3 linked regions of the Arabidopsis thaliana genome follow. The protein of the gene in region 3 binds, or shares a complex with, the protein of the main gene of each other region. Each region holds a gene or a part of one and is shown on either strand. Other genes may lie near its edges.

Region 1 (3,752 bases), on a different chromosome or scaffold from region 3:
CGGCAAGAATACTAGGAAGACAAACATAATACGAAAACAGCAAAGCCTGTAGTTATAATAACTCTGCCAAAACTCAAAAGTACACTCAACCGAAAAATAACTTAATAGAAGTGACTTATTGTAATAGATAGCACATGCTTATAAAGAGATTCAAGCAGTCCAACCCGTTAGGAAGTTGTGGAACCTTTGATTTGAGCTAAATTCTTCTTGACAAGGATCCAGAAACCAGGGCGGTCATAATCCCCTTACACAGTCACTACTGGCCTTGTCGACCCTGACCATCATTGTACCCACCACCATAACCTTGTGACGGGTCAGATCGCCAAGATCCATCACCATAACCACCTCCCATGTAGCCACCACTACCAGGGTTGTTTGAACCGCCACCACTAGGACGCCCTCCAACCACACCATATGCAGCTTGATTTCCATAACCAGAATCACTTCCACTGTACCCTCCATAACCGTAGCCTTGGTTACTATAGCCAGATGGTGACTGCGTAGGAGGAGCTGCACCAGGAACTCCATATCCACTATGAGCAGCACCACTCCCATAGCCTGGGTTCCCATAACCACTAGAAGCTGGAGTGTCCCATGAGTTTCTCGGAGCAACTCCAGTACTACTTCCATAGCCAGCACCTGGAATGTTCGTTGCTCCATATCCAGCAGTAGCACCAGCGCCATAACCTCCAGCAGAACCAGTGTAACCTCCATAGGCACCATACCCGGCACCATTACTACCATTTCCATAGCCAGCGCCATAACCAGAAGAACCATAAGATGGTAAACCATTTCCAACACTTTGATGCTGCAAAAACCTATTGGAATCCATACGTCCATCATAACTGCTTTCATTGCCACCATAACCCTGGTAACCACCAGAGCCACCACCACCCATTGATCGTCCACCACCTCCAGGATTGGCATCTTTAGGAAGAGCACGCTTTACTTCAACTTGTTTACCGCTCAAATCATGGAAAGTCTTGTGCAAAACACTGTCTACCGCATCTTCAGAGTCGAAGGAAACAAATCCAAACCCACGAGGACGGTTGGTAGCCTGGTCATACATGATTGCAACATCAGTCACAGGGCCATAAACTTCAAAGTACTGGCGAAACTCTTCATCAGTCAAAGTAGGTGGCAAGCCTCCAACAAAGATCTTCTTGGTTTTATTGTAAGCATCACCTCCAGAACTTCTAGATGTATTAAGATTCCCAGTTCTTCCAGAGACTTGCTGCTCCTCTCTTGACATGGCTCTCTTCACATCAACCTAAACATTAACCAAAATCAATAAAGCTCATAATAAACTTCCAAGAATCATACTTTACCCAAATCGAGAACATAACGCAACAGAAAATATATACATCTGTTTTTCCTTATCCTAATAAACCAAACCAAGCTCTCTTTTCTAATACTATACTCAATCACTTCATAGAGTGTACGATTAACATATATCGAGTACCCTATAATACCTCTTATACAAGTTAAAACCAATCCTAGAATCTAAGAAACACTAAGGCGAATTTGCCAACCAAACAAAATTCTATATTTACTCTCGTTCTCAATCAACACAGCAAAACGCAAAAAGGATAAAACTTTAACACAATTAGAGAAATGGAGCTATAAGAGAACAATAATAACCTCTCTGGTATCAATGCTGTGTTTCTCTTGAAGAACCCTATCGAGAACAGAAGGATCCGAGAAGATAACGAACCCAAAACCCCTAGGTCGACCTGTGAGCTTGTCTCTCATCACAATAGCCTGAGAAACCTCTCCATAGTTGGTGAAATGTTCTCTCAGCTTATCTTCATCAGTTTCCCATGAAATACCACCGACAAAAAGCTTTCCTTGATCCGAATCCATGAATTTATATTCCACTATCTTACTTCTGACCCAGAATCACAAATCCACCTCAATCTACGAAACCGTGAAAACCGACTGCAGAAACTTCCAGAAATTACGAAAAGGCTTTAGCTTTTCCAATGGCTGTAGCCGATTTGAGAGGAGGAAGAGGAAGAAGACAGCGAACGAATATTTCTATTGGTTTGGTATTGATATTCGCGAAGGTACGAATCTGTCAGCAGATAAATAAATCAACGGTCTAGATCCTTTCTAATATTATTAACGGTTCAGATCTGTTTCCCGTTTTCTTGTAACAGAGATGCTTACTTATGGGCTTAAGTCCAGCCCAATAGAAGTATAAATAATGGGCTACAAAGACCGACGATGGTTTCACTCGTGTGTTTTCTATTCCACACGTGCCAGCAAATCCTACAAGAACGACAAAAAAATCTTTCGTGCTGTGACAATCTCTGTGCCAGATGTGCACTTTGTTGTCGAAAATTCCAAACTCCACATTACAGCTTTATTAGTACTTGTAATAATTAACCTCATATGTTTAAGTTTAATTAATCTCTTAATTACCTCGTATATATTTTAAAATAATTAAAACAATAGCCTATAAACGACAATTAACGTGCACGATCTCCACTAAAAAACCTTAATTGAATTTTTGAGTTTTTTTTCGAAATTTTTTAAGAGACTTTGGTCAATGTCAGCTTTCACTGAAAAAACTTTGGAATTAGTAATAATGATTAATGATTATACATGACAATACCAATTAATTAATTTCCATAATGAAATGTGAAGACGTTAAATGTAAAAAGCGGCAAAAATGTGGGGCTAATTTATAAAGTTTGTTTATATATTTTTAAATATAAAAACAGTTTCAGGCTTCAACAACGAAAAAGCCGTTTTTCTATTACTTTGCTTTATTTTCTTCTCTTTCTCTGTGTTTTTCTTTCTTCGATCTCACTGTCTTTCTTCTGGAACAGCTCGATCTTTTGATTTAGGGTTTTTTTAGTTACATTTCTTGTTCTATCTGAATCTCTTTCGTTGGTTAGGTTTTATTCGATTTTTGACTATTTGTGAGAAATATGGAAGAATGAGAAGAAGAAGAAGGTGATTTGTTTGATTTTTTTCTAATGGAGCAGCTTGTTAACTTCGTCATTCGACCTCCAAGGTGATGATTCTCTCAGAAAATTGAAAAAAATTACTTACTGATTCTGGAATTTAGTTTTCAGTTTCATCTTTCTATTTCTCTTTACTAGGTTGTAGAATTGGGTTTCACACAAAGTTTAGATTTTTAGATTTGAGTTTTGAAATTTTGGTTCTTGTTCTTGAGTTGATTTTGGATTTTTATATAGATGAAGTAATATATACTAGGATTTAGGGTTGCATTTCCTCAAGAAAACCCTGTTCCTCTTTCAAATCCAATTTGTTTTAATTAGTTTGTTTCATCTACGGTTGAATATAACTGGTGTTTTGATGTAGAGCTGAATACAATCCAGAACATGATCTCTTGGAACAAGAGTTCTTGCTTAAAGGGAGATGGTACCAGAGGAAAGATTTAGAGGTAAAGCTTTTTTTCTTCTGTTGTTGTTGTGAACTCCTGACTAGAGAATCCAAGCAAACATGTTGTGATTCAATGTCAATGTAGATTTCATCAGTTGTTCACTGTTGATCAGCGTGAGTTCCTTATTTTCCAGCCTTGGACTGCCTTTAGGATCTCAAGGTTTTAGTTGTGCTTTGTTCACCTAAGACTATAGAAGAACTTATATTGTGACAGGTTAAAAACATCAGAGGAGATATCCTTCAGTGTAGTCATTACATGCCAGTTGAGCGTCCTGAAGATAGGCCTCTACCTTGTGTAATATACTGCCATGGCAACAGGTAATCGTAACTTTTATTTT
Region 2 (3,752 bases), on a different chromosome or scaffold from region 3:
AGAACAATCTTATCAAGTAAACCAAGAAAAAGAACCTCCTCCAAGAGGAATTCTAATATGAAGACTCTCCCTTCCACGGCAGTATCAAAACAGCCTTTACTACTTACTGTGACAAATAAGTTTTGAACCTAAAATCTCTACAAACTATAAGTAGTTTTACAGACCTTGCATTATGGAATTAATATGTCAAAGAAGAAGAACTGAAAATGAGGAGGAGATGAGACGGAATTGTGAACAGAAACGTGGTGGCGCAAACTCCATTTGATTTGCTGCCTCTGCTGTGAGAGGTTGGTATAAGTCTACCAAAGAGGCATGTGCATCTCGAAGAGGAGAAAAGTCAAGAGGAATGAAATGCAACTAAAGTCGGGGTTATGGGAACGTAGTGCCATTGCGTGGATGAGGTTGACTCTTTTGGGCAGGAAATGGATTTTCCATATTGTCCATCAATGGGCTGTGTGGGAGAATGGGCATCCCAAGATCGAAACAAATCCTGCGCCAAAATCAAATGTTGAGTATGGCGGTTTTACCCTAAAATTACTCGATCTTTTCTCTTCTGAGGTATGCTATGAACTTCATGCGGGGTGCTTCAAGTTCCTTGGCAGATGTTGGAATCAGATGGTAGCGAACCGAGGGAATACGGAATGTGGGATGCAGAGGCTAGAGAGCACACTTTGAAAGGACAGTCCTCCAGAGAGTCTCATGGAATGAACGCACGTAAGTGGATTTTAAGAACAATGCATTTGACTGAATTTCGCTTGTTGTTCATCGGATTGGTAGTGGTTTACGAGACTTCTTTATCCATTTCAATTCAACCAAACAGAAAAACTAAGAGAAAGTATAAAGAAAAACAAGAACCAAGACTTACCAGCTTTCATATCAACCCTCTCAACCTTGCCGTACTTTCTGAAAAGCCGCTCAAGATCACTCTCACGAGCATCATACTCAAAGTTTCCGCAAAAGACAGGCTTCATGATTCCTACAAAATAGACAACAGAAACGATTTATAGCTCCTCTCAACAACCTAAGTATCAAAAGATATCCAAGAGATACTAAACAGAGCACAGATTTGACCAAAATATACAAATAAACACACTCCAGAAGAGAAGCAATAACAAAACATATAATTAAGATCATAGAACAATGAACATAACAGGAACCAAACCACAGAAAAATGTAATCATCTACACTTCCAAGTTTTCAACTTTATAACTGTAATAATCAAAATCCAATTCATCACAAATTAACAAACCAATGCAAATTTCATACTTCAAGATTTCAAATTTACAACTATATTCAAAATTCAATTCATCACAAGTCACAACCCATAACATACCACAACAGATTTTCATTAAAGTTTTCATATTTATACAAAGGAAGCCCAGAAAGTATGGATTTTTTCAAGCTATGATGAAAAAAACCTCAGATCTGGAAAAAAAAAATCAACCATATGAGAAAACAAAGCAAGAAGAAACTACAATTTCAACAGACCTAATGAAACAAGAAAAATTCAACGGAAGAAAATGAAAAAGCTATCGAATTTAAATCTGAAGAACAAGAGAAGAGAGAGACCAAAGAGAGAATCGAATTCAATATCTGAAGAACTCGATTTTGATTATACCTTAGAACAAGCAGTTGAAAAATCGTACCGGCCGTCGAGAGTCGAAACCCTAGAAACAAGCTTCTCTAGATTTTATTTGCTTTCTTCGAGGCTCTCTCTCCAGATAATGAATCTTAAACATATATTTATATTTATATATATATATATATATATATTAAAAAAAAAAATATTTTATTTTTATTTCGTTACCAACTAGAGAAGTACAAATAATTTTTTACCTAAACATTTTATGTTTACAATTGAAATTTCTGCAAAATATACATCAATTTCATATAAGACTTTGTAGTTGCCTCAACAAAATCTAGAGGAAGAAGAATCATATACATACATATTGTACTCATTTAGATTCTTTTTCCAGTTTCCTTTTTAAATATGCAACAACTTGTTTTTTTAGTTATATCATGAAAGGTTTTGATTCATCATCAGATACTGTTCATATAACTCCCATAGCAAGAACCCTATAATTGTGTCTCTTACGAAGCTCTTTAAAACCTTTTGAATCCAACCGTTCGATGTAGTACCAGTACCACCATTATATGAATCTCCTCTTCCCACCAAATCTCTAAACCGGAGATCCCCAGAGTCTGACACCAACGCGTAGATGACACCATTCATGTGTCCTTTCCCGATCACTCCCACCACTGTTTTACACCCATTCACTGCCTTACTTCTCTTCAATGACCAAGCAAGATACTGTCAAGGCAAAAAAACACATTATTTGGTCAAGTCTTATCAGCATACGGTTTTTTTGAGTGTCGCTTTGTTTCGGTTTTTATGCTTACGGTATCTCTTTCGTGTATAAGAGGCATTAGGAGTGCCGGGTATGAGAAACTTAGCCGTTCGTAAAGCTGCAAACTTCCACTGTTTTCATCGGTCTCTTGTTCCTGTTGCAATGCAAACACAAACCGAAAAGTTACAACTTATCTTATCATCTTCTTGAATTAAAGCGAAACCGAGTTAGCGAAAGAGAAACAAAACCTTAAGCTCCGCTGCGGATATACCCGATGACGATGTGATTACCCGAGTCACAGCCATCACCAGATTAAACTTCTCTCCCCATTTCAAAGAGTTCCAAGCCCTTTGGAGCTACAATGTTATAAGTTCAATGTAGATTCCATTGGTTTTAAACCCATATGTAACTACAAAAACGATCAGTTGGTACTTGGTATAGTCATTACAGTTATTTCGATGGGTCGATCTCCAAGAACCAGCTGCGCACCAACTTCCTCAGATGCTTTCCGAGCAGCACGAAACTGCAACAAATAGCAATCAAGAAGAGACTGAATGTCCAAAAACAAACACTAACTCTTGAGGTTTTCTCAAAAGTACCTCATCCCCGAAAGGGCGGTCAGCAACAGAAGATAACTTAGAAGAGAAAACCGCCAATAGAAGTCGCAATGCCAACGCAGTTTGCCCTCCTATGATCATCCCAAACACACACATTCATCAACGTTGAAGTACAAAAGCGAGCAATGGTAAATAAAAAGCTTTGATTAGTTTATATACCCAAGTCTAAACTCCGGCCAACAGCACCGAGAAAGCCAGTCCCGGTCAACGACAACTCTCCGGATTTTAAGTTTTGGTCAACCTCTCCTCCAACACTTGAAGTGTACATAATCCCAGCTCTGCAACATCAACACCAAGCTCTGCAATTTGTTACACAACACAATGGCTAATTCAATTTCATCAGTTGGCAATAAAGTCATCAAATTTCACGAAACCCGAATTTCGTTTGGATAAAGAATTGGACTTTCCTGCTACGACAGAGTTCAACGGCGACATTATCAGGCTTCACAGTACGGACGACGCGTTCAACGATGGAAGCAGATTCCGGCGAGATATGAGAAGTGCCCACAAGCCAAATCGCTTCCGGCTCAACGAACTCTTTGCGCCAAGCTGGAACAGGACCGAAACTCTGTTTCTGGAGAAGAATCAGAGTCCCGTTATCAGCGAGGTCAAGCAACTCCGGGTAAGTTTTCGCGATTGCGGCGCGTGATTCCGACGCGATGTCGTTGCGGAAATCGAAATCCGGCGGAGGAGTTTGAACGGAGACGGAGACTTTGATGGGTCTGAAAATATGCTTTGAAGTATAGGGAGTGAAGAAAGGGAACAAGGTTAGTGATGGATTCGGAAG
Region 3 (3,752 bases):
TAATTAACTTATATAGTTTAGGTGACCATTTTTTATACTTTAGGTGAACATTTGAGAATTAAACTATTTATATCAAAGTAGCGGTAGATAAAAGTATTATCTGAGATGGTTTGTTAGTTGACATATATTGAATCTTTTCAACTTGGTATTTATTATCACCCTCTGTATTTAATTCACAAAATTTCTACTGTTAGCTTCATATAACCAACTTTTTCAATTTAAATTATTGTTTACAGTGAATGAGAAATACAAGTACAATGCAATATTTAGGAAATACACTTTTGAGAAGAAAAATAGAAACTCATTTTCTTTCCCTAATTAAAAACAATTTGTACCAGAGAAGTAAAAGATTATCGTTCTACCAAAACGAATTTGCAGGTTAAGGATTATTTATCATTTCCTCTTGTTTGACTTTGTTTGCATTAGTCAGACATAATTAATGGCTTGACCCTTAATTTAACATGTCCATGCACTAACTCATATGCAAATCCAACGATGTGAAATTTAAAACCTTTTTTTTATTCATTTTTAATCTTTGTAAAACGAACTTATATTATGTTTGAACAAATATTTTTTCATACGCAATCCTTAGATGGGGAAATTAATACCTTTGTAACAAAAAAAAAAAAAAAATGTTAAATCAACTAAGTATTGGGTGAGTCTTCTCAACGAAAACATCAATCAACACCGGCCTCATAAGTTGATTAAATTAACACATTTATTATAATCATCGTACATTGATTTGAATCAAAATTAATTGTTACGTTAATTAGTAATGCATCTAACTATCCCGTAGGAAAAGGCCATTATATTGGGATCCGCGGTCAACGGAGGTTCCACCCACGAGCACGGTCTTTATTTGTTTTTTCCTTTCTCAAATATATATACGGATGTATGATTTTTTGCTTTTGGGGTTAAACAAATATGAATTACTGTGCTTAGATCAGAAATAGACACTTTTATACAAATGATTATATGATTACTGTTCATAGCATAAGCTCCTATGAAAACAAATAATAATCGCAACAGCCGTTTAACCTAATCGAATGCTGAAAAGCCCTCAAAATAGTTCATCTAATCCATGAATCGATTTAACAGAAAAAGTTGAAAATTGTATGCATATGATATACTCAAGTATATTCCGAGTTTTGAGTTGTGTAATGCAAGGAGTCAAGGACCATAGTTTGTCGTTGAACACAACCACGCCAAGTTGTCCACCAAAACTGGAAACTAACTACCATGCCGTTGTTTCCATAGAAGCAAAACCATTAACCTTCCCATTATCCCGCATGGCCACATATATGTTTAATAATATTTCTCACCATACATTTAAGTCTCTCTCGTAGTCGTTATTTACATAGCCTACGTAGTTCATTCATATCATTTTTGTTTCTTTACCTTATATCAAACAAATTGGTTGTTGATTAGAAAAACATAAATTGGTTCATTAAATATCAAACTAACGCCATCAATCTATTGTTTTTTTATAAAAAAATGAAAGAGAAGAAAGTTTGTTGATATGAAACTTACACTTGCTTTGAGTTTTGATAGACAAACCAAAGCCTAACTAGTATTTCCTCTATTGGTACTTGAATTCTGAACTTTTTCACCTTCCCTTTCGAGGTGGTTTAACAGTATACCAGTTGAGATGTACCAACACCAAATTCTTATACTTTTTTTTCTTTTAACCTTGAATTCAGTATTTTAAACGAAACTATGGGAATGTGTTTGAGACGGATTTTCATTAAGGACAATGCAAATAATTATGAGATGCTCAGAATTGTTGTATATATCAAAAAGCCAACACCTATAGTTATATATATAACTTTCTTCGATTTAAAAACAATAAGTCGCTTTGGCCGAGTGGTTAAGGCGTGTGCCTGCTAAGTACATGGGCTCTGCCCGCGAGAGTTCGAATCTCTCAGGCGACGTTATCCTTTTCGTTTTTTCGTCTATTTTTAAACCGACTTACATAGACACTGCGTATAAGACAATTGATTCCTTTTTTTTGTTGTTAATCCTATCAACCCTAGAAAAGGCTTCACGCCCGATTTCTTTTTTCCCCAGAAAAAGGCTTCACTTCCGTTCGTTGTTCTTCATCGGTCTGCGCCGCCTCGCACATCGTTTCACCTTTCTCAGAATCTCTCTTCCCGTCGATTAGTTTCCTCAGAGGTTAGCTTCTTCGATTTCTCAGATTCAATTCTGCTTTTTGCTTTCCTCCTGTTGTTTTTAGGTTTTTGTCGATCTCTATGTTCAGCGATTCCTAAACCCTACTTGTTTTCCGCTCTATTGTAGTGAATCCAACCCAGATTTTTCAGATTTTAATCGGAATTATTCGGGATCTAATGCTCGCGTCGAGTTTATCGCTAGAAAACCCTAATTTCGGAGGATCTGTCACTTTTATTATCAGAAGCTTGTTGTTGTAATTACGGATTAGGTATGTCCTGATCGTTATTGTTCTTTGTTTGCAGGTTGCGATTTGTTGAAAACCTTGATTTAGACTATGAAGTCTCTTAATGATCTTCCTGCGCCCAAATCAACCACTACCACGTATTATGATCATTCTAATGATGCTTGGTTCAAAAACCGAGTCACTGAATCCGAGACGGTGAAATCCTCCAGTATCAAATTTAAAGTGGTGCCTGCTTACCTGAATCGTCAAGGTTTACGTCCGAAGAATCCAGAGGATTTTGGCGATGGTGGTGCTTTCCCGGAGATTCATCTTCCTCAGTATCCTCTTCTTATGGGTAAGAATAAATCCAATAAGCCTGGAGCTAAGACTCTCCCTGTTACTGTCGATGCTCAGGGAAACGTGGTCTTTGACGCTATAGTGAGGCAGAATGAGAACTCGAGGAAGATTGTTTATTCTCAGCATAAGGATATTATTCCAAAGTTTCTGAAAAACGAGGGAGACTTGGGTACTGTTGTTGATGAAGAGGAGGAATTGCAGAAGGAGATTCAGGAGACTGCTGAAGAAACGAAAGCTGCCATTGAGAAGATTGTGAATGTGAGACTGAGTGCAGCGCAGCCTAGTAATATAGCAAGGCAATCGGGAGATTCACAGTACATTAAATATAAGCCATCCCAGCAATCTTCTGCCTTCAATTCTGGTGCTAAAGAGAGGATCATTAGGATGGTGGAGATGCCTGTAGATCCACTTGATCCACCAAAGTTCAAGCACAAGAGAGTCCCAAGGGCTTCTGGTTCTCCGCCTGTTCCGGTCATGCATTCACCGCCCAGGCCTGTTACCGTCAAGGACCAGCAAGACTGGAAAATCCCTCCTTGTATCTCCAATTGGAAGAATCCGAAAGGTTACACAATCCCTCTTGACAAACGTCTAGCTGCTGATGGAAGGGGCCTACAAGACGTTCAGATCAATGATAACTTTGCCAAGTTATCAGAGGCCCTCTATGTAGCTGAGCAGAAAGCTAGAGAGGCTGTTTCAATGCGTTCCAAGGTGCAAAAAGAGATGGTGATGAAGGACAAGGAAAGGAAAGAGCAGGAATTGAGGGCTCTTGCCCAAAAAGCTCGCTCCGAAAGAACCGGTGCTGCTATGAGTATGCCTGTCTCATCTGACAGGGGTAGGAGTGAAAGTGTTGACCCAAGAGGTGATTATGACAACTATGACCAGGATAGAGGAAGGGAAAGAGAAAGGGAAGAGCCTCAAGAGACGAGGGAGGAGAGGGAAAAAAGGATTCAGAGAGAAAAGATACGAGAAGAGCGTCGCAGGGAAAGAGAGAGGGAGAGAAGGT

What was found.
Region 1: SKIP (region 3) and AT4G14300 share a complex: the UniProt entries of both Arabidopsis thaliana proteins name them as parts of the spliceosome.
Region 2: SKIP (region 3) and RS41 share a complex: the UniProt entries of both Arabidopsis thaliana proteins name them as parts of the spliceosome.

What each region holds. Positions count from the first base shown.
Region 1 is NC_003075.7:8,229,290-8,233,041, reverse strand, and holds the start of AT4G14300 (RNA-binding (RRM/RBD/RNP motifs) family protein), read right to left. Parts: upstream 2,041-3,752; 5' UTR 1,864-2,040; coding exon 1,642-1,863; intron 1,271-1,641; coding exon 257-1,270; 3' UTR 1-256. Other genes in the region: AT4G14290 (alpha/beta-Hydrolases superfamily protein), read left to right, coding at 2,985-3,022, 3,334-3,415, 3,629-3,732. UniProt on the Arabidopsis thaliana protein: Involved with pre-mRNA processing. Forms complexes (ribonucleosomes) with at least 20 other different hnRNP and heterogeneous nuclear RNA in the nucleus.
Region 2 is NC_003076.8:21,128,300-21,132,051, reverse strand, and holds the start of RS41 (RNA-binding (RRM/RBD/RNP motifs) family protein), read right to left. Parts: upstream 1,733-3,752; 5' UTR 1,619-1,732; intron 1,008-1,618; coding exon of another isoform or gene 972-1,007; coding exon 866-971; coding exon of another isoform or gene 778-865; exon of another isoform or gene 715-777; coding exon of another isoform or gene 603-714; exon of another isoform or gene 559-602; coding exon of another isoform or gene 352-558; exon of another isoform or gene 262-351; coding exon of another isoform or gene 237-261; exon of another isoform or gene 172-236; coding exon of another isoform or gene 165-171; exon of another isoform or gene 1-164. Other genes in the region: AT5G52045 (uncharacterized protein), read left to right, coding at 352-558, 603-714, 778-1,007; AT5G52030 (TraB family protein), read right to left, coding at 2,018-2,311, 2,401-2,502, 2,597-2,704, 2,797-2,871, 2,948-3,036, 3,125-3,243, 3,340-3,752. UniProt on the Arabidopsis thaliana protein: Required for constitutive and alternative pre-mRNA splicing. Involved in primary miRNA processing and pri-miRNA biogenesis. Binds both intronless and intron-containing pri-miRNAs.
Region 3 is NC_003070.9:29,000,384-29,004,135, reverse strand, and holds the start of SKIP (chromatin protein family), read left to right. Parts: upstream 1-2,000; 5' UTR 2,001-2,172; intron 2,173-2,295; exon of another isoform or gene 2,296-2,471; 5' UTR 2,472-2,503; coding exon 2,504-3,752. UniProt on the Arabidopsis thaliana protein: Splicing factor involved in post-transcriptional regulation of circadian clock and flowering time genes. Associates with the pre-mRNA of PRR7, PRR9, ELF3 and GI, and is necessary for the regulation of their alternative splicing and mRNA maturation.